7 linked regions of the Danio rerio genome follow. The protein of the gene in region 1 binds, or shares a complex with, the protein of each later gene. Links are inferred from orthologs where the notes say so. Each region holds a gene or a part of one and is shown in the gene's direction. Other genes may lie near its edges. The genes, in order: ruvbl1, anp32e, dnaaf10, asdurf, morf4l1, smarca4a and mbtd1.

What was found.
Region 2: ruvbl1 (region 1) and anp32e share a complex: the UniProt entries of both Homo sapiens proteins name them as parts of the SWR1-like complex. The link is inferred for Danio rerio from reciprocal best matches to the Homo sapiens genes RUVBL1 and ANP32E.
Region 3: ruvbl1 (region 1) and dnaaf10 share a complex: the UniProt entries of both Homo sapiens proteins name them as parts of the PAQosome complex. The link is inferred for Danio rerio from reciprocal best matches to the Homo sapiens genes RUVBL1 and DNAAF10.
Region 4: ruvbl1 (region 1) and asdurf share a complex: the UniProt entries of both Homo sapiens proteins name them as parts of the PAQosome complex. The link is inferred for Danio rerio from reciprocal best matches to the Homo sapiens genes RUVBL1 and ASDURF.
Region 5: ruvbl1 (region 1) and morf4l1 share a complex: the UniProt entries of both Homo sapiens proteins name them as parts of the nuA4 histone acetyltransferase complex. The link is inferred for Danio rerio from reciprocal best matches to the Homo sapiens genes RUVBL1 and MORF4L1.
Region 6: ruvbl1 (region 1) and smarca4a share a complex: the UniProt entries of both Homo sapiens proteins name them as parts of the BAF53 complex. The link is inferred for Danio rerio from reciprocal best matches to the Homo sapiens genes RUVBL1 and SMARCA4.
Region 7: ruvbl1 (region 1) and mbtd1 share a complex: the UniProt entries of both Homo sapiens proteins name them as parts of the nuA4 histone acetyltransferase complex. The link is inferred for Danio rerio from reciprocal best matches to the Homo sapiens genes RUVBL1 and MBTD1.

The regions. Positions count from the first base shown.
Region 1 is NC_133181.1:43,388,343-43,392,670, forward strand, and holds the start of ruvbl1 (ruvB-like 1), read left to right. Parts: upstream 1-1,165; 5' UTR 1,166-1,312; coding exon 1,313-1,453; intron 1,454-2,075; coding exon 2,076-2,162; intron 2,163-2,284; coding exon 2,285-2,417; intron 2,418-3,564; coding exon 3,565-3,716; intron 3,717-3,832; coding exon 3,833-3,922; intron 3,923-4,328. Other genes in the region: eefsec (selenocysteine-specific elongation factor), read right to left, coding at 287-578. UniProt on the Homo sapiens protein: Possesses single-stranded DNA-stimulated ATPase and ATP-dependent DNA helicase (3' to 5') activity; hexamerization is thought to be critical for ATP hydrolysis and adjacent subunits in the ring-like structure contribute to the ATPase activity.
Region 2 is NC_133194.1:45,163,718-45,168,100, forward strand, and holds the start of anp32e (acidic leucine-rich nuclear phosphoprotein 32 family member E), read left to right. Parts: upstream 1-1,417; 5' UTR 1,418-1,513; coding exon 1,514-1,567; intron 1,568-4,383. UniProt on the Homo sapiens protein: Histone chaperone that specifically mediates the genome-wide removal of histone H2A.Z/H2AZ1 from the nucleosome: removes H2A.Z/H2AZ1 from its normal sites of deposition, especially from enhancer and insulator regions.
Region 3 is NC_133188.1:1,036,360-1,040,849, forward strand, and holds the start of dnaaf10 (dynein axonemal assembly factor 10), read left to right. Parts: upstream 1-1,588; 5' UTR 1,589-1,610; coding exon 1,611-1,796; intron 1,797-4,490. UniProt on the Homo sapiens protein: Key assembly factor specifically required for the stability of axonemal dynein heavy chains in cytoplasm.
Region 4 is NC_133184.1:42,816,042-42,820,671, reverse strand, and holds asdurf (ASNSD1 upstream open reading frame protein), read left to right. Parts: upstream 1-1,511; 5' UTR 1,512-1,586; coding exon 1,587-1,664; intron 1,665-1,786; coding exon 1,787-1,840; intron 1,841-3,265; coding exon 3,266-3,341; intron 3,342-3,463; coding exon 3,464-3,504; 3' UTR 3,505-3,516; downstream 3,517-4,630. Other genes in the region: asnsd1 (asparagine synthetase domain-containing protein 1), read left to right, coding at 3,517-4,630.
Region 5 is NC_133193.1:21,420,737-21,425,168, forward strand, and holds the start of morf4l1 (mortality factor 4-like protein 1), read left to right. Parts: upstream 1-1,451; 5' UTR 1,452-1,634; coding exon 1,635-1,674; intron 1,675-1,747; exon of another isoform or gene 1,748-2,268; intron 2,269-2,616; coding exon 2,617-2,663; intron 2,664-4,432. UniProt on the Homo sapiens protein: Component of the NuA4 histone acetyltransferase (HAT) complex which is involved in transcriptional activation of select genes principally by acetylation of nucleosomal histones H4 and H2A.
Region 6 is NC_133178.1:18,047,041-18,050,903, forward strand, and holds part of smarca4a (SWI/SNF related BAF chromatin remodeling complex subunit ATPase 4a), read left to right. Parts: coding exon 1-38; intron 39-425; coding exon 426-589; intron 590-1,806; coding exon 1,807-1,873; intron 1,874-1,971; coding exon 1,972-2,082; intron 2,083-2,159; coding exon 2,160-2,402; exon of another isoform or gene 2,403-2,529; intron 2,530-2,632; exon of another isoform or gene 2,633-3,863. UniProt on the Homo sapiens protein: ATPase involved in transcriptional activation and repression of select genes by chromatin remodeling (alteration of DNA-nucleosome topology).
Region 7 is NC_133187.1:35,448,004-35,452,060, reverse strand, and holds the end of mbtd1 (MBT domain-containing protein 1), read left to right. Parts: intron 1-177; coding exon 178-296; 3' UTR 297-3,215; downstream 3,216-4,057. UniProt on the Homo sapiens protein: Chromatin reader component of the NuA4 histone acetyltransferase complex, a multiprotein complex involved in transcriptional activation of select genes principally by acetylation of nucleosomal histones H4 and H2A.

The DNA.
Region 1 (4,328 bases):
GGGTGAGATTTTTTTCCCTGACAATGTCTGTTCTGTCTTTAGAGTGATTAACATGGCATCTTCAAACGCTGCACACACACCACCTATTGATCAAAAGTGGTACTGCTGCACAGATTATAAAGTGCCCTGACAGGTTACTATTCTGTTGGTTAGTTAATTAAAAACAAGTCAGTACGTAAGTCAGTAACTTCTAGTGCTTTGTGTACGTAGAAGGCGTGAAGTCACACGTCAAAGTGAATTTTATTAGTGTAATTGTTGCTTTACTGAAAAAAATACACCCACTTACCCCCGATGATAGTGCGTATAAGGGAGGCATGTCCTGGACAGTCCACCAATGTGAACTGCAGACTGTCGTATTGTTTTTCCCCGCAGGACTCCCTCAGGTGCTCCGGTAACGGCACCGTGAACGCACTGAAGCCGAGATCCAGCGTTATGCCCCGCTCTTTGGACTGCGGGTTCTTGTCGAAGGCTGCAGTGGATGCGGTGCTGCTCAGCGCCCGGGCGAGAGATGTTTTCCCGCTGTCCACATGGCCGAGGACACCGACGTTAAAGTTCAGTGTTTTGGGAAAATCTGTCATCTCTGGATCAACACCGCGGTTGGGTAACAGAGAGTGAATGCGCAGACTTTGAACTGCTGACAGCGACGCTGCTGGTCAAAACAACCAGCTTGATGTCGTCAGACAACCAACTTACTGTAATTTGATGAATTTTGATAATATCAACTTATTAACTTTGATATCAGAAATAAAAGTGTAAACTAAATTCCTCGGCTCTTACTTCATTCAGCAAAGTTTTCAGAAATTTGACAGTTGCTCTTCCTGCGCTGCCAAAAAACAATCCCTGAGCTGGCAGCATCTCACATCACTGGTTCCGCCTCACGGCATTTTGTTTGAGAAAAGAAACATTCCTCATGAACAAAGTTGTTTATAAATTAGTTTAAAAGTAAAAATAATCTACACCTTGGAAATATTATGTTATCTACACTTCTGAGAGAAACTATTTATGGGAACCCACAGCGTAGATCCTTGTTCCAACACAACATTTCAAATGTAACACACACGAAGAATAGGGGCGGGTTTACAGTGATCAGACCGACAGTTGCAGTGTCCAATGGTCATGCAGAGTTTCCACAAGTTGACCAATCGTTACAAAGAACCACTGAAAAACGTTTTGCGGACGGTACTTCCTCAAATCGCCTTGGTTACCCTCATGGAAACGCGGGTCTCTTGTGTTTGATTTTAACGGCCTCTCGTGAGACAGGCGTGTGGTTGTTTTATTCACGCACAGCGCGTTCGATTAATTATTAAGAAACATGAAGATCGAAGAAGTAAAAAGCACAACCAAGACGCAGCGCATCGCTTCTCATAGCCATGTGAAGGGCCTCGGTCTGGATGAGGCTGGTAATGCTAAACAGTCCGCGTCCGGGCTAGTGGGACAAGAAAGCGCCAGAGAGGTAACACTAGCTAAAGACCAATTTCCGTGTTTATTTCATTAATTAAGAAAAGCAAACATTTTAATTTGATAACCTCGAATGATTTGTATGTAGCTGGCTATATGTGAAGAATAAATACAAAACTTCTAATTCATTTGCTTGTGTCAAGAGCTGGATACAATTGATTGTAAATACGATAAATTCATATACTTTCATAGGCTATATATGAAGAGTTCAGATGCAAAAACCTCTAAGTACCGTCTGAAACTTCCATTAAAGCTGAGCATTTTTATCTCAGCATTCTATATTGATTATTGATGAGTTATTTCTCTTTAAAGATCATTAAATTAACATACTTTTTAATTATTCTTTAATTTGTAATTACTGAACCTACTAACAGGAGCCTGATAAAAATGTTTATTTTAGAAGAACATTTCAGACGGCTTTTAGAAGTTTTTGCATCTGAACTCTTCATATATATATATATATATATATATATATGGAATATTTTAATCACACTTTTTAAACAAAATAATGTTTTCATGTATGTGACATTTTCTGGCCTGTAGTTTAGCCCTGGGCTTTAAAAAAAAAAACTGATCCTGTTACATAAACATCTAGAAAATTCTTGCATATTTGTTAGGCTTGTGGCATCATCACTGAGCTGATTCGTTCCAAAAAGATGGCTGGCAGAGCCATTTTGCTAGCCGGACCGCCTGGAACAGGCAAGGTAAGGGTAGACTGGTTTTATTTACACTGCACTGTATAATTAAAATGGACATTAAAATAGTTTCAGAGCTGTTGTTTAAGATAGTATGTATAGTCTGCCCATTTGATTTCTATCCACCACAGACTGCTCTAGCACTGGCCATGGCACAGGAGTTGGGAAATAAAGTGCCATTCTGTCCTATGGTGGGCAGCGAAGTTTATTCATCAGAAATCAAGAAGACCGAAGTGCTGATGGAGAACTTCAGAAGAGCCATAGGTGAGCTCTCACACCACCATAACCTGTCAAAAAAGGATAGAGGAAAAGTTTTTTTATATATTCGCACATTCAGACTTTCTGCTTAATAATATAATTTCATAAAAGTATTCTTTGCAAATTTTAAATAGTGAAATCATATTAGCAGTCAATGACTATCAAAGTACAGCGTTGTTCAATCAATTACATAGTGCTAATATTGTTTTGAAGTCATCCTTGCATGCTATTTTAGACGCAATATTCAACTTGCCGTGGTAAACAAATATGGGCCATTAATGAAACAAATGTGCAAATCTCAAACATACTTTATCTAAATCAAAAAAGGCTGTTGGCCGTTATCTTGCGTAATGAGTGATTCCTACCATCATTAAATCAATTCAATCAAAACTGCTGATTCAATTAAAAATGAAGCAAGTGACTGTCTTTAATATAAAATCGAGTCTTTGGCTCATTCGATTTGTTTAAAAATAGATTAGTTCTGGAACAATGCATACCATCGTTGCTCTGAAATGTGTAAAATGTTTTGGTATGACCGTTCAGAACTGATTATGTTGACAATTGAAAATAACACAGTATTTTTGTTTTGAAATGTAAACTTACTGTTTTTTGAGCTGTTGATATTTTTGCTTTTTTACTTGAAGTAAAGGGTTTATAGTCCTAGGCTTAACCGCAGTGTTTAGACTGAATATGTATTTGTTTTTATAATGAGCAACATGCATTAATGTCAGCTAGCGTGTCATTAAACAGCAGGACTAAGTGAATATCATTTTATTTTAGATGATATAACACACCCCTACAATAAAGAAGCCATGTAAAATCTGTATTTTCCTTTATGTATTCCTATAGATTTGAGCATGACCTTGTACTGTTCTTCTAGTTGGTTCACAACCCTCAACTCTGAAACCCTCAAGTATGACTCTGAAACAATGTAGACTATGTGATCAAATGAGATATGCATGAATGCACACATTATTACTACGCTGACAGAGATATATGGCATGAACCATTGAAAATACACTTCTGGCTTTTTATTACGTAATGAAATATGTGGTTTTTGTAAAAGTGTATTGGCCAGTAAAACCGAAAAACTATTAAAAGTGTTTATATCAATCTAGTATCTAAAGTTCTGTTTTGTTTTTTGATCGAACAGGTCTGCGTATCAAGGAGACTAAAGAAGTGTATGAAGGAGAGGTCACTGAACTGACTCCTTGTGAGACTGAGAACCCAATGGGAGGCTATGGTAAAACTATCAGTCATGTCATTATTGGTTTGAAGACAGCTAAGGGGACCAAACAGTTGAAGGTAAGGAAGTGCAGGCATGTTGTTATGTTTTTTTTCTGCATGCTTATATTTCGTAGATAAGCTGGATGGAAGCTGATTATGTGGTTGTTTGAAGTCATATCTCATCTCTCCTGCAGCTGGATCCCAGCATCTATGAAAGTCTGCAGAAGGAGAGAGTGGAGGTCGGTGATGTTATCTACATCGAGGCTAACAGTGGGGCAGTCAAGGTATGGACAGATATGCTTCGCTATTCTCTCTCCTGCGGTTCTATAGTTGGCATGTTGAAGTAATCTTTTGTCAGTACAGGTGGGCAGGTAGTCTGGCAGTGGAATAAAGGACGAGATTGTCTCTCGTATTTTTAAAAGAACGTAATACTTTTATTAAGCAAGAATGAATTAAGTGAATTCAAAGAAAAAGAGACTATAATAATGCTACAAAAGATTATATTTCAAATAAATGGAGTTTAAGTTCATTAAAAAAAATCCTAAAAAAAAAAAAAAAAAGATTAGAAGAAAAAATATTAAGCTATAAAATAAATATTTCTTGAGTGCCAAATCAGCATATAAGAATTAATTCTGAAAGTTCATGTGACACTGCGGTAATGATGCTGGAAATTCTCGCCATTACATGAGT
Region 2 (4,383 bases), on another chromosome or scaffold:
AGAAAACGTAATATAATATAAATTTTGTTTCATTTTTGATATGAAATTACTTATTAAAATATAAACTGAACAAATGTGAGAATTATATGCATTTCATTAAACTGCAAATAAATGTGAATTAAATGTGAATAAAAGAAATCAAAAATAATTTTATAAATGCCATCAAATGAGTAAAAATATATAATTAATTAATCATAATAATTGATTTTAATAATATGTAATTTTTACAGTATAAACTGGGTCTTTTTAGGGGGATAGTGTGTGTGAGAGAGAGTGACTCTGTCTTTCTTTAACAATTTAGGATGCGGGTAATTGGCACCTAAAAGGTTAAAAATATCTAAAATAGGCTGTTGACTACAATAAAGACAATAATAATGGTAAAATTATGATAATAAAGGGTAAAAAACATATCTGATCTGTACTTTTAAAAAGTAATTGTAAAAGAAAAGATTGATATATGATACACAATCAAACAAAGAGTCTGCCCTAATGACTGTTTCATACAGAAAAGATTATTCACTTCTTCTCTGGCAGCCCAGATAAATCAGCTTAGCAGATCTGTTGTGGTGTCCATTGCGGTTCAGGGTCAGTGTGCCACGCAGCCCTAGTGGTCACCTTGGTGTACTGCACTAATGCACAGCGCTCAAAGCCTTCATTTTACATTTCCGTGGGGATACTTGTTTTTTATGCTGTTTTAAAATGAATGAAGACATTTTTAGGGAAAAAAATATGAAGGTTGTTTATTAATATATAATAACAAGTGAATATCCTGCTGGTGCTCAATGACTAAAATAGGCCTTTGTGAGTGAAGCGATCAGCAGCAGCACATTATGGGACAGATGGCGAGCAGACTTTAAGCCACCATGACTGTCTGGGTTTATGGTCAGCCATTTTGTATAGAACAAATGATTGTAGAGAACATACTCAATGTTTAAGACTCTTTTGACCTCACAGAACACATTTTACACGTGTTTTAAGGTGAAAATAACATAAATTATATTTTAAGATGTAAAAATGTTTTATTTTTGACTCTTAAGCATTGGCGTTCACTTTAGATTCTTCAGAATACACCATCTATCCCTGGTCTATAAATTAATTTCGACTTATTGGAGTATTAAAGGACACGGACTTCGCTTCAGGGCGCCAATGAGAACAAAGAATAGGCGGATTTACAGTTTGAAAGCTTCATACTGACGTTCTGGACGACCCGTCGAAAATCTACTGCGCGCGTATTTCCAGCCAATCGCGTCAGGCTATAAAGACCGATTATGTTGATAAGCGTGATCTGTTTGAGTGACAGGCACGTTCTCCAATCACGCGTTGACAAATAGCGATCATCCAATCGAAACGCGAAGTAGGCGGGATCTCAAAAAGGGGGTTGGGTGCGAGGTATCATGGAGGATCAGTTGGAGAACGGCAGCCATTGAAGATAGCCGAGCCGTTGGTCCGCGCTCCGGAGTTTCTGACAAATTTATTTTCTTTACGCGATCCCAGCGCAGCAATAACCAACCAAATGGAGATGAAGAAGAGGATTAGCTTAGAGCTGAGGAACAGAACTCCAGCAGAGGTGAGCGCTTTAACTATTTATTTTGTTCACAGAAACGCGAAATGATGTTAGTTCGCAACCTGTCTGTCTATCTATCCTGCACGCTCGGAATAGTCAGTGGAGTCCGCTGAATGGCAGCGCGGCTTGGAGACCACATGGGCGCCTTAACGGGATGCCAATTTGGATTTTTGGAGACTGCATATTTGGATATACACAAACAAGTAGTCGATATAATCGTAATTTTAAGCGCGTTAAACTCTTGGTGAATCTTTTGTGAACTCCTCACACGATCTCTTCGCCATTACATTAGACTTGTCGATGTGGGCGTCCCAACAAGCACCTCAAAATAACACACTTCGATATTAAGTATTTTTATCGGTCGCAAATATGTTTATTACTCAACAAGTGTCGTCTAATTTGCTTACGATGTTATTACAATGCCCCGATACGATATTGTTCCCGCTTCCAGCAGGAAACGGTAACAATTAAAGTAAAACTGTTGTGTATTGTTATATAATTCCTACCCCAGTCTTCCTTACATGCAAAACATCACGCGAATAAATCTCCTATCTCTTCATATAAAAAGTTTATTATACGCTAGCTTCACAGATGCGCTCCCTACTATATGGCTTTTCTAATCTAGTAACGTACGTTAAAAAACGAGCAGTTTCGTCTTCCATAGGCGGACATCTTACTCTCTCCGGCTCCTCAACATTAGGCATTCACTCGCCTCCGTTCTTCATCTTAAGACCCTCTAAAATGTTCAGGGTTTGAGAGCACAAGCACATATGGAGCGAATGTCAGGTCAAACTGTATTATGAAGCGTTCATGGCTTCTGCAGCGCCTCGCGGTGTGTGTGGTGAGGATGTGTGTGTGTTTCTGCTCGACTCCGTGTTGACGGGCGGGGAGTGGAAGTCATTTTGTTGCATCAATAGTTGAGACGCAGATGACGATGTTTTGAAGCTTTGACTCTGTTATTATTAATAAAAGTTCAGTGGTTTGATTCACTACGCTTACGTGGTGTGGAGAAACGAATAATTGGCGCATAAGAGCCAGAAATAGTCGCTGCGGTTTAAAAAAAAACTAGTTGCCATTTTCTTACGCGGTTACGTTAATGGCGTAATTATGTAACCGTCTGCAAAATTATTTATTCCCGACGTTAAACTATGCATTGGGCTTTAGGAAGCTGTTTAGGATGTCAGTCGCCGTTTTAATTGAAGGAATGTGGCAGATGGTGAAGGGCGAGCCCCCCTTCCTCCTCTCCGATTTTAGTAGATTATTGTAGGCTTGCCTGAACCGAAGTATTGAAGCACGCTTCTTTTGAATGGGGTAATGATGGATGGGATCTTTTACACGAGCTTGAGTTGATACTCTGTCTGACATGACATGGTGGACGTGCATAAGCGATACGTGGCTTTTAACTTGGGTGTATCTTGCGCCACCGGTTTAAAAAATCTTGCGCGCGCTGTGTGAACATCTTGTGAAGAGCTGGCTGTAAATTCACACACACCAAATCCTGTGAGATGAGGTGGGGGAGGCATTACCAGGGCTACATTACACACACATCACGTGCTCAAAATGTAGGTATCTTTCCACAAGGGCAACAAGTTATTGAATATTTAAATTTTAGGGCTGCAGTGCATGACAGTGAGCGCGCGCGTGCACGTTTCTGTTTGTTTTTAATGGGAGAATCAGCACGTCTTTCCTCAAAGCTTTTAAGTGCACATCTGTTTATTTGTTGAATACATTTTTTTTGTATATATAGAAAAGTTTCAAACTTGTCAGATAAACAAATATCTATGTTAAAGGAATTGTCTATATTATAATTTAAATCCCATTTAAATTAAATCATTCCTGTTAAATACATTAATTACTTACATTAAAATGTAAAAGTGTAAATACATTAGAAAATATGTGTGTATTGTTTGTTTCAATAATTGGAATTAAAAACAGGCTCAACCAATGGTGGGAGACGGGGGCGGGGCTATCCAATGATAAATAGCATACAGCAGCTCTACAGAAACAGGAAGGATTCATACTTTGTGTAGTGCAAAATAAAAAAAAAAAAACATTTATATTCCAACCCATATTCAGTTATTTTTTTGCTGTCTCTAAATGTTCCATCTCCGTTAATTTTGTTTATGCTATATATTTTCCAATGTTTTTGAACTTTTTGGGAAAAGAAATGTATTTCAATTTTATTACTATTAATAAATGGGATTTCATTTACATGGGTCATAAATTAATTATAGACAATTCCCTTAACATGTATGGCTGTTTATCTGACACACACACATATATATATATATATATATATATATATATATATATATATATATATATATATTATGTTAGGGAAAAATATTAAACAAAAATAAATTTAAAATAGAGCAAAATTCAAGAAAAACTGAATTTATAAAATATAATAAATAATTTTGTTTTGCAATGTTTCACATGAATTTAAATGTTTTTTTTTTTATATATAAATATACCTATTTAAAAAATCTATTTTGTTTAAATGCACTAAAATATATGACCTATGTTTACTGATAAATTAAGAAAAATATTCATTTGCAAAATGGGATGTACTCTACACACATTGGCGTCAATATACCCTATGATATGTCGCACAAATTTCATAGCTTAAGTGCTTTGAGATTGGTTTTCCAATAAAACCAACAAATATTTTCTTATCTGCTCCATCATCCTTAAAAACAACAGTATAATATTTACTTGTATTCTTCACTGCCTCATTTTCATTCCTGTCAGAAATAATATATAGCTCTTCCCTGACTAAGGTCTATGGAGAAGTGTTTGTGAAACCGGTATAAAAACAG
Region 3 (4,490 bases), on another chromosome or scaffold:
AAGATTTTTTTTGTTCATTTTGATTAGGCTAAATGTGGGTCAACTATGTTCTGAGGGTCCTTCACGCTGTAGGAAAACACCGGAGAGCTCACGTGTAGCCTATAAATATACTATTGGACGGACAGACAGACAGACAGACAGACAGACAGACAGACAGACAGACAGACAGACAGACAGACAGACAGACAGACAGACAGATAGATAGATAGATAGATAGATAGATAGATAGATAGATAGATAGATAGATAGATAGATAGATAGATAGATAGATAGATAGATAGATAGATAGATAGATAGGATGGACGGATAGACAGACAGATATAGACGGACGGATGGATGGATAGACAGACAAACATGATAGATAGATAGATAAACACAGACAGCACCTACCAGACATTCATTATTGTAAAACGTGAATCAGGAAATGTTAATAAATGTGGAGCAGTGCAGATAGAGAAACATATTATTAGAAATTATGAATACTAAATGAGTGAAACTTATGGAGAATTAAGTTTAAAACAAATGAGAATTTAAGAATATTCATTCATTCATTTTCTTGTTGGCTTAGTCCCTTTAATTTAAGAATATGTTAAGCAATAAATTGGGGTGAATTAAAAAACAATAACAAAAGCACTCGGTATAAGAGCAACAAAGTTCAGTCTATTGAAAATTGAGAATATAACAATTAAGAATATGTTAAGAAATGCCCCAGAACAATATGAAGTGTATTTTGCGATTATAAATCAGTGAAATGCAATAGGTATAATAAATGGAATTTAAGGAGAATGAACTATAAAGATTATATATATATATGTGTGTGTGTGTGTGTGTAAAATACATTTTATTCTGTTATATATTACTAGTATCCAGTAAAAAAAACAGTGAAGTCTAGAAGGGATGCAGTTGCAGGTACATCAATATGACATAATTTGTGTAACACTACAACAATAATTAATATTTTCACATTACTGTGATAAAAGGGGTAAATGTTAATAAAAATTCAATTTAATAGGTAATGTTATAAAAAATATGAATAATACTTTGTATTATTACTTTTTCCATTACTGGGGTGGGGGTAGACATTGATAAATTACAATGAATGGGTAATTAAATAAATAATATGACTAATACTGTGTATACCTGTTTTTACATTACTGTTATGGTTGGGTTTAGGTTTGGGGTAGAGATAGACGTTAATACAATAAAATTAATGGTTAATTTATGAAATAATATGACTAATACTCTGTTTAATTGCTGTTTTTGCATTACTGTGAGGTTTGGGTTTATTGTTGAGGTAGGGGTAGATGGAAATATGGTAATAACATACAATTAATAGGTTATTTAATAAATAATACTGTCAGAATTGGGTTTAGGGTTGGGGTTGATGTTAATAAAATACAATAGATGTGTAGTTAAATAATATAAATAATTCTCGACCGCAGCTGTATCCCTTTTAGCAAAAACCCACACCAATCCACCAGGTGGCGGAAGTATAGCTTTTAAGAGGGTTGTCAACAGCCATTGAAACAAAGAAGAAGCAAACAGCGCAACTGACATCTCTTTCCTTCTGCTCAAACTGATAGATTTTAGTTTCATATTGAGCACAGATCATGTCAGCAGCTCTCGAGAAGCCGCAGATCATCGCGCACATCCAGAAGAGCTTGAACTACACGGTGTTCGAGAGCAAATGGATTCCGTGCAGCGCCAAGTTTGTTTGTATGGGAAACTTCGCGAGAGGAACCGGAGTGATGCAGATCTACGAGATCCAGCACGGGGAGCTGCAGCTGGTCAGAGAGGTCAGGTCTCTTCATAGTATATATTCACTGAAGCACAAATCAAACTGCTGAAAAGCTTTGCTGTTTATTAGCTAAGCCAGTTCGGCGCTTTCTAGAAAAGTCCTGAGGCGCGGTTGCCATGGCGACAAAACTCAACTGCCTCAGTCTCTGTTTACAACGCGTTTATTAACGTTTACTTCACCGTCATAGTTCATATTCATCCACAATACACATGTGAATCATGACTATAAGACTAGTCAGGGATCAGTTAAAAATAGAGATTTATTCATGATCTATTATGCAAAAATCCCTTTTATAAGGGGTTTAACCCCAGTTGTGTGTCAGCAGTTTGTGAATATCTCCAGCCTCTAATGGTAAAGATGAATTAATTGTGTTTGATGTAATCAGACTTAATAAAAACAGTCTGCGGAAACACTTTTTTAAAATTATATTTAATTTTATATATATATATATATATATATATATATATATATATATATATATATATATATATATATATAATATATATATATATATATATATATATATTTAATTTTTGAGTACTTTTAGGGCATGGGGTTGAAGATGAATACCATGTTTTGTAATGATATGTGAATATGTTGGTAAAATATAGTGTTTTTGGCCAAAAATCGAAATGGGCGACGCCCAAAATGGCTGACCTGTGAAAATCAGACATCATTCGACTCGACATGCTCTGCCGGATGTAATGAGACAAGTTTTATCAGTTTCGGACGAAAGGTTGAGACGTTATAAGCCAAAAATCAAGTTTTTTGTATCTCCGGACCACTAGGGGGCAATGTGCCAAAACTCAGCATATAACCTCGGACCCTAGTTGTCATAACACACACCAAGTTTGGTGTGAATCGGTGAATGCGTTACAGAGATATCGTCTCAAGTCCATTTTCGCAAGTTCTACGTTAAATTTGATCGCAAGTTAAGCGAAAACAGTTGGTCTAATCAACTTCAATTCCATAACTCTTGGTTGGCATGGTCTGTAGATCATGTGATTCAATTTTGGTGAAAATCGCAGAAACGGCCTAGGACGAGTTCGATCAAATAGGTTTTTCGAAAAATTTAAAATAGCGCGAAAAAATTCATGACGGAAAATGATGTCATAGGGTGCGTTTGAATCGGACTGAGCCAAGGAGTCAGCGGAATTTTGATTGTAGCCCATTCGGTTCAAAAGTTATTATGATAAACATACGTGAAAGTTTGGACAAGTGGTGGCGCTAGAGAGTTTGATTTTGAGACTTCACATTTGGTCTGATTAATGTTAAGACTGTCCTCTATCATTGTGCCAAATTATACAACTTTCCCGCATACGCCTATATGGGCTGCCATTCATATCCGGTGGAAGAAATGGAAGAAGAATTCTTACACTTGAATGAATCAAAAACTGAAGTACTAGTGTTTGGTCCTCCGAGTGTCTGTGAATCTACAATTAATAAATTAGGTTCGATCAAGCCTAAGGTCCACAGTCACGTAAAAAATCTTGGAGTTACTTTTGACACTGAGTTAAAGTTTGACAAGCAAATAAACTCAGTTGTCAAAAGTGGTTTCTATCAATTAGGGAACATTGCCAAATTGAAGCCTTTTCTTTCTTTTAAAGAGCTGGAAACTGTCATTAATGTTTTTATTATGTCAAGACTGGACTACTGTAACTCTTTGTATTCTGGAGTTTCACAGGCATCAATAGCACGCCTGCAGCTGGTTCAAAATGCAGCTGCTAGGCTTTTAACTGGGACAAAAAAATCCTCTAGTATCTCACCAGTTTTATTGTCTCTTCACTGGCTCCCAGTCCAATTTAGAATTCAATATAAATTATTGCTTCTAGTTTTTAAAAGTTTGAATGGTCTGGCACCGACTTACATTTCTGAGCTTCTTCACTGGCACACTTCATTGAGGCCAATCAGGTCCGAAAACACGTTTCAGCTAGTTGTCCCCAAAACGCGGTTGAAATCAAGAGGTGAAAGGGTTTTATTGCTGCAGCCCCCCGACTATGGAAGGGTCTGCCTTTACAGATCCGGTCATGTTCTTCACTTGGTGCTTTTAAGTCTCATCTAAAAAATCACCTTCTGTCTCTTGCCTTTGATTGTAATTAATTTTAATCTGTTTTATATATTTTGCAAATTTTTTATATATAGGTATAGATTTTGTATGCTGGTCGTTTTGTAAAGCACTTTGGTCAACATCTGTTGTTTTTAAATGTGCTCTATAAATAAAGCAAACAAACAAACAAACAAGAAGAATAATAATAATAGGAACGCTAACGGATCCAATAGGTGCCTACGCACCTACGGTGCTTGGCCCCTAATTAGAAAAATAACAGCAAAAAGGGTATATATAAGGGGTATATATATAACAAAAGGGGTATATAAATCACACATTAAAGAAAACGATTATATAACTGACAAATTTCAGTTGTTTTTAAAGACTGTGAGTAAGAAATAGTTTCATAGTATTACTGCAATTCAGTAAGCAAAATATATGAAAACAGGTTTTTGGTTGGAAAATTTACATGTATGTATATAAGGTTTTGTTAGTAAGATAAGAAGGTTAAGAAAAAAAAATATGTCAAGCTTCGGTTTTTTAACTGATAAAGCCAAACAAAACATTTTCCCATAGTAAAGAAAAGTCTGCATCAACATTCTCAATTACAAAAAGAGAGAAAGCTTTTCCAAAGGAAATTAGAGT
Region 4 (4,630 bases), on another chromosome or scaffold:
TACCAAACTATTATTTTTTTGACTGTGAAGTCCTTTAAAGATGGTAGAGCAGGGGTGTCCACACTCAATCCCGGAGGGCCGCTTTCCTGCAGACTTTAGCTCCAACTCTAATCAAGCTCTTACTAGATATACTAGAAACTTCCCAGCAGGTGTGTTGGAGCTAAACTTAGCAGGACACTGGCCCTCCAGGACCAAGGTTGGACACCCCTGTGGTAGGGTCAGGACAGTCCTAAAGGGCTTACGCATATTGGGGGCCCCTAGAGATATGATTCGGGGTTCATGCACAACCCCCCACCCCTCTCTTCGCTTCACTTTAGAGCATTATTCCTATGTACAAAATTTAGGAGGGATACAGTGGCTCATTGGTTAGCACTGTTGCCTCACAGCAAGAAGGTCGCTGGTTCGAGTCTTGACTGGGTCAGTTGGCATTTTTGTGTGAAGTTTGCATGTTCTCCCATGTTGGTGTGGGTTTCCTTCTGGTGCTCCGGTTTCCCCCACAGTCCAAAGTCATGAAGTATAGGTGAAATAAATAAACTAAAATGTCTGTAGTGTATAAGTGTGAATGAGCGTGTATGGATGTTTCCCAGTACTGGGTTACAGCTGGAAGGGCACACGCTGTGTAAAACATATGCTGGATAGGTTAGTAGTTCATTCCGCTGTGGCGACCCCTGATGAATAAAGGAACTAAACTGAAAAGAAAATGAATGAATGAATGTCAAACTTGTTTTCTAAGGACCAGTGCAATTTGTTTTTACTTGCCCCATTACAATTCAAACACTTATTTATAAACAAAATAAGTTTATTTTAAGAAAGATAATTGAACCAAATTGGTAAAGAGTTTTAGAATATACAATTTAGTTAATTGTTTTTTTAGAATAATTGTTATTTGTACCGATTAAATAGCTTTACATGGACAAAAAAATTAACACCTGTTTAAAATTATTTAAGACCTGTAACACCCTTTTAAGTAAAGTTTTAAAAGGCCTAAAATGTTGTTTTTGAAATGTAAGACTTTTAAAGTCCCTGCGGACACCCTGAACAATTTTTCCATTAAGATGAGCATTATTTGTTCATCTTGAAAGTTAAATGCAAACAATCCTCTTTAGGATAGCTCTCAAATTACTGAGGATAAACCAAAATATTTGGATAAGATAATGTACGCCTAGAGCTATGATAGGCTTTGTTTATTACCATCTTATCGTACATTAGAAGAATGGCAAAATATGATATAAGATAATATGATAATATCAGGTTTAGATAGATGGGCTAGCCGCTGTTTCGCGATGAAAAGTCGTTAATATCCGGGTAAAAACTCTATTTGAAAGCATTCGACGTATTTGAACCGTATTTGACCACATTACTTAGATTCCCTGTTTCATTCAACAACGCGTCTTTGTTTAGATGCTGCAGATTTATCCACCCAACATTATTCTTTAACAGGCTTTGTTTATGGGGGATAATGGGGTTAGGATTACGTGACGCACTTTTAAAGCGTCGTTGGCGCATACGTCATTCTTGTGCGACGAACGAGTTACTTGCTCGTGGAGATGTTTCCCTAAAAATGATCTGAAGCGTATTAATAAACAATGTCCTCCAAGAACATACAGCGAACTGAGCCTGGGGCCTCAGAAGAGCGCGCACAAAAAGAGGAGCTGAACCAAAAGGTTGTCTATCATATATGTTTTTTGTAATTTATAGTATACAGTTGACACCAGTAAAACGCGTTAAGCATGTTTAGTAATTTCTGTTTTTTGATGATCCTAAAAACATAACTATTCATTCGCAGATAAAAGAGCAAAAGATTGTTGTGGACGAGTTAAGTAACTTGAAGAAAAACAGGGTATGTAACGTCATATCGTCTTGTCACTTTCTATATATTATCAAGAGTCATTCTGCATTTGGTGTAGCAGATGCTTTCACTTAATTATAGATGTAACAAAGTCAAACCACATCGCTATAGAAGGCAATATATACTAAAATGTTTTCTAGTGTAGCATACAATATAATATATGAACTTATGCTCCACTATACTAATTCGCAATAGATTATAAGTAGACTGTCAGGTGGGGTTGGTGTAAATTGACATGTACTTGCAAAGTTTCTTAGTCAGTGAAATGTTGAAAGCAGCAGTATCAGCAGATATTAAGCAGACAGTCTACTAATACCCAAATGAGAAGTAACTGGCATTTAGTTGCAGTACAACTTTAGTCAGAAAAATGTGCAACAGGGACCATCAAAATAAAGTCTTACCATGATATTAATTACATTCACATTTAAAAATATCAACTAAGAAGTTCCTTCGATGTTTAGAGATATTTTTCCAGTTAAATTTATGAAAGATAAAACGTAATTGTGAAACAGTTTATTTGACATCAATTAAAAGCAAAGTAGAATTTAAGCTTGACAAAATTATCAACTTATAAAGTACCTTAAATGTATCATCTGTTGCCATTTTCTAACCCATGGGGATTCAAATTGGATAATTCCTTTGAACTATTGAATTTATTATTTTAAGATAATTTACCTCAAAGTCAGTGTTCTTCTTATGGCAGACTTGTAAATGAAGCAAATAGGACTGAGTTTCATTTCTGGCCCATTTTTGTGGAGATTTTCTAGAGTACTTCTATAGCCAGTCCATGTGTATAGTGAAGTATCTTATAGTTATGCGTAGGTTTTTAAAATAGCTCTTATGTGCAGAGTTGTGTTTGTATTTATGATTAATTTATGTAGCACCGTTGTCCTGGGAGACTGCACATTTAGTTTCTCTGTATGTTCACACTAGGCATGGGCCGGTATAAATTTCTGACGGTATGATAACCTTGTATAAAAATACCACGGTATCACAGTATTGTGAAAGTGATTACTGCTCTCTCTTTTTTAAAATGTATGGGTAAAATAGAACAAACATTTATAATTTCCCCACTGAACACAAATTATTTATTTTAAGGAACATAATATTTTGGAACAGTAAACATGTCAGGCTAAATAGTTAAAATAAATCTTTGACTTCTGCTCTATTCGTTAGTTTGAAAAACGTAGATTTCTATACAACACATAAAAATATATAAAAAAACTTTTACATATAACTTGGGAACGGTATAACAGAACAATTTACTGGGATTAAAACCTTGAATTTTCCAAACCGCGGTAAACCTTGAAACCGGTTACCGTCCCATGCCGAGATCACACATGTAGTGGAATGACAATAAAGCTCAACTTGACTTGATATCATCACATTCCAGTAATACTAAGATTATATTCACAGAGAGTGTACACCCAGCAACCCAACAGCAATATATTCTTTCTGGCAGACAAAGGAGAAACCCTTAGCTCTTGTAAACGTAAGTGTTTCTGTTATACTTGAGTTGTTTCTGCTTTTTTGATAGATGATACATAAATACAATACTAATGCCACCATTTTGAGTGTGTTCTTCTAACATTGTCATAATATTCTGTTATACAGAGGACCTGGATAACATGCGGAAAGAATATCAAGATATATAGTGAAGTGATATCATGTGTGGGATCTGCTGTGTGGTCAGTTTGACCACACCACATGATCCACTGGAGGAGAATGTGCTTCAAAATCTCAAACACAGAGGACCCAATTGTAGCAAAGACATTACAAAAGAAATCTCAAACTGCAGTGTCCTATTCTCTGCACATGTACTTCATATGAGGGGTTGCCTGACCCCTCAACCTCTTCAAGATGACACTGGGAATATGCTTCTCTGGAATGGAGAGGTGTTTGGTGGTCTGAAATTAGAGCAGGAAGAAAATGACACCAAAGTTCTTCTTCATCAACTGTCAATGGCCACCAGTGCCTCAGATATTGTATGTTTGTTATCACAACTCGAAGGACCGTGGGCCTTTATCTATTACCAAAAGTCTGAGCGCTGCATCTGGTTCGGGAGGGACTTTTTCGGGAGAAGAAGTCTGCTTTGGAAATTCAATCCTGAAAGAGCTTTTTTCACACTCGTATCAGTTGCTTCCCAGCCAGCAGATGATAGTCAATCCCAATGGCAGGAGGTACCACCTGGTGGAGTTTACAGGTTTGACCTAACAGACACTTCACTAGATGGTACATTTATTTTTGAACTTTATCCATGGATTTTCCACAGTGACGACAAGCCAATTGAAAGCCCGGAATTGAAATGTGAAGGTCTTCCCAAATGTGTTTCTTTAAACACAAATAGTTCTGGACTTTACCTGACCTCCCCTGTTTGTCCGATGAACACATCCATTTCATCACTTACAACTGAACAAAATCATAACGCCTCTCAAACCTCTGTTGAAAATCTGAAAGCATTCTTAACAAACACTGACAAGAAAGCAGTGGTTAGTGCACTGATTGATGTTCTAAGCGAGGCCGTTCGTAAGAGAGTGCAGTACTTACATGCTCGGGATGCACTGGAGGTTTCCTTAAATCAAACAAAAGCTGACATCGCCATTCTTTTCTCTGGAGGAATTGATTCAATGATACTAGCTGCCCTTACTGATAGGCACGTTCCTGCAGACAAGCCCATTGACTTGCTCAATGTTGCTTTCAAAATGCAAGAAGCAAAGATGCCTCCCAAGTCCATGAAGAAAGGTAAAAATAAGAAGACTGACTGTGATGATGCTGATAAAA
Region 5 (4,432 bases), on another chromosome or scaffold:
TGGCACACTGAAATCAATGATTGAACAAACGAACAAATGAAGGAAACCTTGATGTGTTGCACTTTTGTTTCTGGTTAATGTTTTCAGGTTTGATTGTAATTCTCTTTCCATTTAATAGAGAGAAGATTGTTTTTTAACAAATTTCTAAGCATAATAGTTTAATAACTTATTTCTAATAACTGATTTATTTTATCTTTGCCATGGTGACAAATAATATTTAACTAGATAATTTTCAAGAGACTTCTATACAGCTTAGCTCATTTAAAGGCTTAACTAGGTTTACTATACATGTTAGGGTAATTAGGCAAGTTGTTGTATATCGATGGTTTGTTCTGTACACAGTCTGAAAAATTTTGCTTAAAGGAGCTAATATAGGTTTGACCCTAAAATGATACATAATAAATTTTAAACTGCTTTTATTCTAGCCGAAATAAAACAAATAAGACTTTCTCCAGAAGAAAAAATATAATCAGACATACTGTGCTCTGTTAAACATAATTTAGAAATATTATAAAAAGATAATATCTTTTTATAATAAAAAGATATTACACCGGAGGGGCCGGTGTAATAATTCTGACTTAAAAGTGTGTGTGTGTGTGTGTGTGTGTGTGTGTGTGTGTGTGTGTGTGTGTGTGTGTGTGTGTGTGTGTGTGTGTGTGTGTGTGTGTGTGTGTGTGTGTGTGTAGTGCTGAGCATAATTAAGTACACACATATGTGTATCCAATTGTCAGTGAATATAGGCAATGTATTGTGGTGCATTTAAACGAAACAAATTTATTAAACAAATTTATTTAATGAAATAATATTTTAGTCACCAAACATAAATTTTTTTAAAGATAATACAATTAAATTCAAGCAAAATATGGCCCCAAAAAAACTTACAACCTATAAAAAAAATATTATTTATTTATTTTTCTCTTTTCTTAAATTTGCATTTAATATTTTTTTCTATAACATAAATTTGGCTGTACTTATTTTTGGACTGTTATCGTAAGTTATTTTGTTAGATAGGCTCCAGATTTGCTTCAGTACTGACTAATATAGTATAGATTCCTATTAAAAATATGAATTTAAAAGATAGATTTGTGAGGGGTGTACTTATTTATGCTGAGAACTGTGTGTATGGTATGTATGTATGTATGTATGTATGTATATATATGTATATATATATATATATATATATATATATATATATATATATATATGTATATATATATATATATATATATATATATATATATATATATATATATATATATATATATATATATATATATAAACAAAAGTCGTGTACACCTTGCATAACCTCAATTGTTTTGTTTTTGGTGCAGCTACCCCTTTAAATTTTAACAAGAAATAAAAACATAAATTATAGAAGAGGCGTGGCGTAACGTTGAAATATATCTGCATAAATGCACTTATTTACATGTATTGCCGTGAGTAGAGCACAACTTCTGTCATTCGTCAACAGGGGCTGCTGGATAAACGCTGTTTATTATGAGAGTCACCTGACAAGGGCGCCAGTAAAGTGCGTCATAGGAACGCAGCGCGGCGCCTTCACCCTGCGTGAATTAAATCGGAGCTGGCAATGCCTGGATTTGATTTTCCAGCTATTTTTATTGTTTAATCTGTGAATGGCGCCTAAACAGGACCCTAAACCTAAATTTCAAGAAGGTAAGATGCGCTTTGTTTCATCCACGAGAGTCACCCGTCGATCGGGGATCCTCTCATTCTGCCGTGCAAAGGAAGCGGGCGCTGCCGCTGCACAATGGCGCGCGCGCACGGCGAGCTGTCTGTTACAAAACACTTTTTAGCTGAGAGTTGCCGCCTTTAACTTGTGCAGAGTTGTTCATCACCTGTCAAGCGAGTGCATGATCGCACGTTGGTGCTTTTCGTTGCATCTGACAGCCTCTGCAGACGCACACAGCGGCGTGTTCCTGAAACAAAACATTAGCTGTTGTCTATGATGTAGCCGTTAGCATACAGCAGGCCTTGTTTACAGGAAGCGGCCATTGCAGTATTGAAGTCCTGGCGGGAACAGTCATTTACTTATTTGAAGCGTAAAAACAACGACGTTAGCTCGGAGCTGTTCTAAAACTGAAGTCGATAATGAGCAAAGAAAGGCTATATTATTGCATTAAAATGACCATTAGCAATTTTTGATAACTGAATGAATCGTTCTATAGAATCGAATCTTTAGAACAGTGTTCTATTCTGAATCTGATTCCTGAACTGGGACTCTAATATGAGTTAATATTGTTGGTGATTGTAAGTAAACGCATATGTCAAGTAAACAGTCAGATTTGATGTATTGTTTGACTATATAAGCAGGTTTTAAATGTGCGTATTTCTCGTTTGTTTAAGTATTGTGTATTGAAAATGCTAATTATATTTTGGTTATAATGAGCTTAATTATGATTCAAACAAACAATATGGTAAATATACTGCAGACTGTTATAAATCTACTATACATTTAAAACATTTCTTTGTTGTGGCATTTTCTGAAAGTACAATATTCTGTGCCCACACACATATTTGAATATGTAACACTTCTATTTTATTTATTAGCCCATTAGTGGATGTCATTGTATATTAATATTTCTGATGTTTTTTCAGGTGAACGAGTGCTGTGCTTTCATGGGCCATTGCTATACGAAGCTAAGGTACCTGAATCATTCATGCCATTATGCATGCTTCAAAAGGCTTTTTGATATTTGTTTTCCTGAAAGCAGTACCTGAATGGCATTACATTTATAGTGTAAATGTAGTCATGTGTTTGTAGTGGTTTTGTTTATCATATTAATGCTTTGGTATTGTTTTCTGTGTCAAGTAAAGGGATTTGTTTTTGTATAGTTAGCCCTCTACCCCATGGTGTTGCCATATGGCAACATAATACCGTTAATTTTTGCCAGTGCCACTGTTCTTCTTCTTCTGCCAGTGTTTCTTTAAGACCAACGTTCTGTTTGTTTTTTTTGTTTTTTTGTGGTTATTGGAAAGAGAAGACCTTAGTGTAGCCAATGATGTGCTTCGGTTAAGTCACATGACGTGCAGTGTTTTTCTGTGGCTTGGTTTCTGTTAGACTGGCGTTTATTTTGAATAGTTGCTGAAAGCAAATGAAAAAGTCAATAAAATCAAAGCATCAACCCATGCCAGATCCACAAACAAAATCTGAGACATCACATCCAATAAGTTATGATGACATATTCACAACTCAAAAAGATTTTGATCAAATTAGCATTTTGTAAGTCGATCAAATGTATGTGCTAGCAAATGGAAATGCTGTACAATAGAGGAATGTGCGATATTGCGATAGATTAGCTAGCTAGGTCAGCTCAGCTGTGGTCTTTAAAGTTGTAACAATAACAACATGAATGCTAGTAATATAACGTTGATTAGTTGTATGTTAATGGCATTTGCTTTATGGTTAAATCTAATTTTAATGGCAGTGCATTTGATTAGATATAAATACAAGGAACAGTGTATTAGTGAGGACCACAATGTTCTATAGTTAGTGAAAGAAGAAAAGGACACAACTGGCTCTTCCCACAGATGAACGTGAGGATGAGATGGTGACAATGAGAATAATGCAGATTGGACATTTGATAAGAGCAGTGATGAAGTCAGTTTAAGTTAGCTAGCTCAGAGGTGTATATAAGACAGATGTAGTAAAGTATATAGTTTAATATATAAACATAGTTTGCTGGTAGCAAAAGTTTATTTTGATGCATCTGAATATTTTAGACTTATTTATTTGTTATAATATTTACTAGAGGATATATTTATACTTTCTGTATGTTGTCTACATGATAATACAATATTATGTTAAAAAGAATGGACTAAATAAAAAGTTTTGGAATATCAGTTGAAGTCAGAATTATTAGCCCCCCTGTTTATTTTTTTCCCCAATTTCTGTTTAATGGAGTATGTTTTTTTTAACACACTTCTTAACATAATAGTTTTAATAACTCATTTCTAATAACTGATTTATTTTATCTTTGCCATGATGACAGTAAATAATATTTGACTAGATATTTTTCAAGACACTTCTATACAGCTTAAAGTGGCATTTAAAGGCTTAACTAGGTTAATTAGGTTAACTAGACAGGTTAGGGTAATTAGGCAAGTTATTGTATAATAATGGTCTGTAGACTATTGAAAAAATATAGCTTAAAGGAGCTAATAATTTTGACCTTAAAACTGTTTTAAAAAAATCTAAAACTGCTTTTATTCTAGCCGAAATAAAACAAGTAAGACTTTCTCCAGAAGAAAAAATAGTATCAGACATACTGTGAAAATTTCCTTGCTCTGTTTAACAAAATTTGGGAAATATTTTAAAAATAAAGAAAAAATAAAAGGGGGTTTAATAATTCTAAATTCAACCGTATAAGGTGTCATTTATAAGTTCTGTGTTAAAGCTTTTAACTCTGCAACA
Region 6 (3,863 bases), on another chromosome or scaffold:
CGAGTCTGCTAGTGAACGGGCAGCTCAAACAATATCAGGTAGAAAAAGATATATTACTCTACAGTTTTTACTTTATTACAAACATGCTCTGTTTTAAAAATGTTTTAAACTAATTCCTGAGGTGCAGCTGATCACAGAGAGTTGGAACAGATCTTTTGGTCTCAGTGTCTTTGCAAATCCTATTCTGTGAACACGTTTATATGCATTGTATGCAACCCCCTCTACCATTCAGTGTGACCTTTTTTTCGACGTAATGCTTTTCTCTGAAGATACGTAACTTTTTCAGTTATTAATTATCATCACCGATCTCAGTTACCACAAAAGATCCCAGAAAATACTAAGATATGGATATAAAAACGAAAAATACACAGAGAGATTCTTGTTAATCTGGTGGCTTGTGCTTATTGCTTTCGTTCCGTCCACAGATTAAAGGTCTGGAGTGGCTGGTGTCTCTGTATAACAATAACCTAAATGGCATTCTGGCTGATGAAATGGGTTTGGGCAAAACTATCCAGACCATCGCACTCATCACCTACCTCATGGAGTTCAAACGCCTCAACGGACCCTTCCTTATCATCGTCCCCCTCTCGTAAGTCACTGGAGTTGCATGATACCAGAGGAAGAATTTGACAATATTTAGGTTTATGGATGAACGAAAAAATGTAAAAATATGAATATTCTGTAAATTATCGGGGTGATTTGTGAGTGCGTCTAGATCAGAGATGTCCAAAGTTGGCCTATGATAACCCATGGTTTGGCCCACTATCCCATCTGAAAAGAGAGGAAAAATGGGGGAGGGGCAGGGGTATGCCTTTAATAGAGATTGTCATTTCTAATTTAACACAATCTTTTATTTGTTTATTTTATTGTTAAGCTACAAAAAAGAAAGCTTGAATTAAATATTGGGAATGGATGAGATTTATTTAAATGTGCATTGAACTCAATTGTGTTATAAATAGAATTTATGTTAGTTTGTTTTCATTGTAATACGTTCATTATAAAATGTAAAAAAATTAGGGTGTATTAGCTAGCCCAATACGTTAAAGTCTATTTATTTATAAATATTATTTCAAAGAAATTGGGAAATTAGTCTTATAAATTTACTATCGGCCCTCAGATCTAAATTGTTTGTTTTTTGGCCCTTTATAAGAAAATATTTGGGAATCTCTGATCTCGATGGCAAAAAACAGTTAAATAAATCCAAATACATTTTTATGGGAATTAGGCTTTCTAGAATTGAACAGTTTTGGGTGTAGTAAGGATTTTTTTGGCATGTATTGTAGATTTGATGTTATGATTTTAGTGTCATTCATTTAAAATTGTTATTATAGTTAATAAAGTATTCTATTTAAATAGGAAATTTATTATAACTTATGGTATGTCATATACTATATTAGCACACCCTGTATATATATTTTCTTTATGGTATATTATGTACACTTTGCATTTTAATCTCAAGCATTTTTTTCTGGACAATAAAATATGCTGTGTAGAAATATTCATTATACACTTTTCCATCATCAATAGTGATATTTATTTATTTACTGTGAGCTGAGATGCAGCAAAACGATAACAAAATGTTCCAGTTATCCACATGATACAGCTCTTTACCCACTATGATTTGGGGTAATATTAGTACTTGAGAGGCAGTGCTCACCAAATATAAAATAAACTTGTATTGGGTCACACTGGGCCTGGGATATCTTTATTTTTAGCAGATAATCATGCACCTCTCTTCAAAAATAATCAACCCATGGGCATTGCCAAGATGCATGAATGATTAGTGATTTTTCTGTTGTCTTATAGGACTCTGTCGAACTGGGTGTACGAGTTTGATAAGTGGGCTCCATCTGTGGTGAAAGTTTCTTACAAGGTGATTTAAATCAAATGCTGTAATACAAAATAAACCACAACCGAAGAACCCTGTAGGATATTTAACACATTTTTTTTTTTTGCTTATTTTCATCTTAGGGCTCTCCTGCTGCTCGCCGTGCGTTCCTTCCCATTTTGCGCAGTGGCAAATTCAACGTACTGGTCACTACTTATGAATACATCATCAAAGATAAGCAAGTGCTGGCCAAGGTATTAACCTGACCTTTAATCATTAATCATTCTCAGACCAGTGTTTATTCAGTGTCTGATGATGCCTTCTCTTCCAGCTCCGTTGGAAGTACATGATCGTGGATGAAGGTCACCGCATGAAAAATCACCACTGTAAACTGACTCAGGTATTAAATACGCACTACCTGGCACCCCGGCGTGTGCTGCTAACTGGCACTCCACTGCAAAACAAGCTGCCCGAGCTGTGGGCGCTGCTCAACTTCCTGCTGCCCACCATCTTCAAGAGCTGCAGCACCTTTGAGCAGTGGTTCAACGCGCCCTTCGCCATGACTGGAGAGAAGGTAAAATGGTTTTCACAACAATAACAGTAACTATAAGGATAATGTGTTAAAGGGGCCATATACTGTATTGGTTTAATAAGTTAAAATGTTCTCTGATATCTACTTAGTAGGTTTATGGCTTCAGAAAGTAAACAAAAGAAATCTTCAGAAACGCTTTTATAAGCTAATTTATTATCTTAAATACCCCTAGAATATCTGCTCTACTCAACTTTGACCTGCTGCGATTTCAGACACTCATACACACAGAGCATGATGCAAGCTGAACACAGACAAATATAACCCAATCAGAGTAACCTTAACCTATTATGCTCACCAGATCTGTTGTGGGTAAAAACTAAATTATGATTAAACTTGACAAAAGAGAGTGAAAAGAGAGATGTATTGCATTGTATTTTGAGCTACATTCAAAGAGAAAACAGCCACGATTCAATATCAGCTTCTGTATGAACGGATGACAGTTGAGGTGAGTGATTTGACAAGATTCAAGAGTCTACATGTGTTTGTTAATACACATATGCTTCACATTTCACAATAAACATGATAAATTAACAAAAGATGTAACCAAGCATACCATATGCCTCTTCAGAGTGGAGAGGAATAAGTGTATAATCTGTAAATCTTGGATTTTGCATCCTGAGGCGAGTTTTAAACATGTCTTATGCTGTTTGGCGCTTGTGTTTTTACAATAAAAGTCCAACATGCATAGGAAGTGAAATACACACTTAAAATAACTAAGGGAGGAAAATGATCACTGGTATCACTAGAAAACGTTTGGCTTATCAAACACAGCCTGAGGTGTGCATATTAATAATTTCAGGGCTTTTGTTTGCTCTCAGAGCTGCAGGTGAGTTGTGTTCTCTTGATTATGTCAGTTGCTCATCAGGTCAGGATGAATGACCTAAAGTAAGGATGCATGCAAATACAGAAGACATAGCTCATGAGTCTCGTCACAGTTTGTTTTGTCTTCTGATTGGCCCATTGTTTACCTGGGTTTTACACTTGTGGAATTGACATTAATACGATGAAACTGGTGTCTGAGGCACACAGTATGCCCATATCCATATATTGATCGTTTATTATTTTACTATGCCTTGGTATACCCAGATTTTCATCATAAGGCACCTTTGTAATGTTAATTTTCAGCTTTTTAGAAGTGCACACTGCAGTTTTGTCATCTGCTGCTTTAAAAAGTTGCACTCAAAATGGTCAGTCTCAGGATTGCCAGGTTTTTGCAACAAAACTAGCTTAATTGCCAGTCAAAATTAGCCCAATAATATCAAAACACAATAAAATATGCCACTTTCCATTTGTAAAATGCATATTTGACATTGCTTTATGAATCATATATGGTTTGTTCCTTGAAAATTACTGTATATACGGTATATTCCAAAGCATGCTAATAGGACTTTTAATTTGCCAGTAACCTGGGTTAAGCGCTTCCGCTGAACTGAATGCAACTGC
Region 7 (4,057 bases), on another chromosome or scaffold:
GTTTATCAGACTACTAAAACATCTAAACTCTGCATATTGCTGTCTGCTTGATCTCATTATTTGAAAACTACAACTTGCTTTAGTCTTTGGCAACTAAAATAAATTAAAACAATGCTCAGTTGTCTGTTTTCTCTTTGACGTATTGTTATTCTTGTGTCTCCTTTTTTGCTTTCCCAGAGGCCTCGCTGCAGGTGAAAGAAGAGACTCCTGAGATCGACGAGTTCACCTTCTCTCAAGGCATCTCGGACCAGGAGAGCAACGGCTCGGGCAGTTATTACATCAGACAGGAGCCATGAGCCGATGCAGCCAATCACAGACTCTCACCTCACTGCCAACAGCACTGGAAAAAACCCCACACGCAGAGATGCACAGCAGACCTGGAGGAAGAAGAAGAGACTTCCCTCCAAAACCAGGTCTTTCTCCTTTCCTTTTATGGTTCCTTTTCAGGTTTCAGGAGAAGAACTTCAGTCATTGATGCGAGATAGAAAAGGGGGGATTTTGGTTCATATAATAAGGATAGCGTTGATTATCCTGACTTTTTTCTTTATTCTTTATTTTTTGTTCTCATTTAAACAATTTGCCCGATGGACTTTTCCTCCTCAGTGTTCATTGTACTTGAAAGTTTTCTTCGCTTTTATACATATTTTATCTCTTATTTTTCCTCTTTTGGTGAAGAAAAACAAAAAAGACGACAAACATTTTTGGTATTTTTGGGGGTGGACATTTCAGTACCTTGTGTGTTCTTGCGCTGTTTCACTTGTTTTGGATGGGTGTGCGTTTGGTAATAGTAGAAATCTATATTGAGACAGTATATTCATATATATATGTATGACATTCATATTAAACATATTTAAACGTATAAATATAGTAGTGGATTGAGGGATGATGGTATTGAAATCAAACCTTACTGGTATGTAGAGTAGACTAACGGAAAACACTCACAATTTGCACTACAGGGATTTCAAACGAAATGTAAAACCAGTAAACAAACAAACCGCAGCTTTATTGTGATGTGATTAGCAAGCGTAACTTTAGCGGTGGGATGTGCTCAAGTCAAAGTGAAGATTACGATATGCAAATTGTTTAGTTTTTCGACATTTGACGCCAGTGTTTATAGGTTTTGATTACAATCTCAAGAGCCATTTTTTAAAATACAGGCGGTCAAAGTGTTTTTGAGCCAGAGAATAAAACGTAAGCAATCACCGCTGCCTGAACACTACCTTTCGCGAGTCTCCGATCAATCAATCCAGCGCTAGCTCATTTACTAGCCTGGCCTCTAACATCCCATCCCATACATTTCCTGATTCCATTCCACATTTTGACTACCTCTAAAAGAAGATGCGTTGCAATAGGTAGTTCTTTCATGCTTATAATCCGTATAAGCAAGCGTGTACACCATTATATTTTATGCAAGAGATAAATATTCACACTTGGACATGTGACATACTTCACTTTTAAAAGTCTATACAGCATTTCTGTTTTCGAGCATGGGAAGGAAAAGAAGAAGGTTATGCAATAATAATATTTGTGTTGTTTTACGATGTCTTACTCTGAAATCCAGAAATCACACAGCTCCTATATATATATAGAGAGAGAGACTTAAAAGGAAAGATATTGAGAAACTGTGACAATTTTCTAAGAGCTAGACTTGAGCTTTCCCTGTTCTAGATCCTTCTGAGTGTAAATACATCCTCTATATCACATTCGCATAGTGGTTTATCTTAGTAGAACTATAAGCTCTGTTCAATACCAGTAAGGTTGTTGGTGAACTCTCAGGAAACGTATATATCTCATTTAATTCTGCTTTATTTGAAGGTTCACGGCTAAAGCGCTACTAAAATCATTCGATTCGATCGCCGTTTCGTTCGTTGAATTAAAAAGAACAACTTCTTGCTCGCGTTTGTTAAATGCTGCCTCGATTTTTGTAAATGGTCATCCACGTCGTAGGTAGATCCATGTTAAATTATGGTTCGTTCGTTGTATAAAACAAATTCAATGTATTTTTTTACCGTTTGTTTTTCTCTCTCTTATTCTTTATGAGTTTTAGCGGATGTTTGTACTGAATCATTCTGTTTTTTTATGTTGTTGTTGTTCGTGGTGGGTTTCTTCAGTAGCTGTTGTGTCGTTTGCATGTGTAGTTTTTCAAATGTAAGGCACTGTCGTGTGTTCATGTCAAACTGGGACTTAATGGCCACATTTTCCCATCAGCTGCAGGAGCCACGTTCATTTATTTTTATTTTTTCCATCATTTTTTATTTTGTTATAAACCCAAACTCATAGCATCAGGATTTAGGTACACACTGGTCATGTCAGTCATGTCAGCTCAGTTTAATTTCTTGAATATATATATATATATACACAAACATTATAAGACCAAAATATTAATTGTTTCTGCAATTTAAACGAAAATAAAACGACTGTTGAGGCAAATTTAGCTGCTACCCTTGAAAGAATTTCAACGCACAACTTCACCTTCATCCTTTTGTCAGCAGAATTGATGCCTTATCCTCTCTGTGTTGTTTTTTTTCAAGCTATGGGAGTACAAAAATATACGTTAAAAAACAAAAATATGTCGTCCAGTAGAGTTCTTATCAGTGCATGCAGCAATGTGAGATGAATCTTATGAGGGCCAGTTGTTGTTCTGGTCTGGATACTAACACGGGTTTTTGTGACGTTTCCCCTCTGTCCTCAGTAATCACATCATGGTGCTATATTCATATATATATATATTTGATAACTCATTGGTTAGGTCTATCATAGGAGAAATAAGTCTGTAATTATAAGTTGGAGAGCCGCTGATTATATCTTCAGATCTGTATTTTTGGATACAAATAGCCGAAATCATTTGTTATAACAATGTAAAGTGAAATTAATGAAATAAAACAAAAAAAAGAACTAACGTTGACCCTCGTTGTATGAAGAGGTGAGGGTGGTGGATTTGTAACTTTTTTGATAGAGTCTGTATCTGGTCTTTGCTTTATTTCTTATGACGAAGATGATTATGATGATGACGTGTGCTGTGATTATAGGGTTTGATAGAGCTTATATGTATATACTTCAAACTGTGGGGGGGGAGCTTTTGTTGGTCAAATTTTATGTTAATTTGTTTACAAGCATTTCAAACTGTTTCCGCATGGCTGTGAAAAATGTATCTGTTGAGTTTGGGGGAAAAAAAAAAGAAATTTTTACACTGAATTAAAAGGTTACTAAACGTTTGTTTGCCTTTTCCTTTTAAAACCATGCTTTTTTGGTACTGTTTGTTTTTTAATCCAACTAAAGTTTATGCTATCCAATTTTGTTTTGAGTTAATTGTTTTTTTAACATTTGTTGAATTTAAATGTCTGAATTTTACCATGCCTCGAGGTTTAAAGGGATGGTTCACGCTAAAGTTTTAAATCGGTCATCATTCACTTGTTTTGAAAGAGTTTCTTCCGTCGAACACTGTTTTTCCTATTATGGAAATTGGAGTCCCAGCAACTGACATTCTTCCAAATATCTTCTTTGTGTTTAACAGATAGTAGTTTCAAACCACTCGATGGAGTTATTATTAGTAAAAATTGAATGAGTTAAAGGTGCTGTATGTAGGTTTTTGTCTCTTCTAAAGCATAAAAATACCATCATATGTTTGCAGATATTTAAGAAGCGTGCTAAATGAACATTCTTGTTTATCTGAAAAACAATGCTGAAGTCAGATATTCTTTTTTTTTTTAAAATGTTTTCGTGCCGGAACGTCTGTCTTTATTTTGGTCATTTTAACCCGCCCAATGCCAGTTTAGCCAATTACATTTCAGCACCCAGGGTTGACTTGGTGGAAAACAGCGTATTTTATTCAGTCATTCATTCATTCATTCATTCATTCGGAAAGGCTCTCAAAGCATTTGCTGGTTGATGAAATGTGACCTCTGGTGGACAGCAGCAGACTCTAAAACAAGATGCAGATTTAGAGTTTCCACATGAGGTTATTAATTATCAAATAATTTAAATATTACAAACGTAACCATTAGGTGGGCAGGTTACACTGTAACCCTGTGTTCTAACACCATGCTACGTGACCATC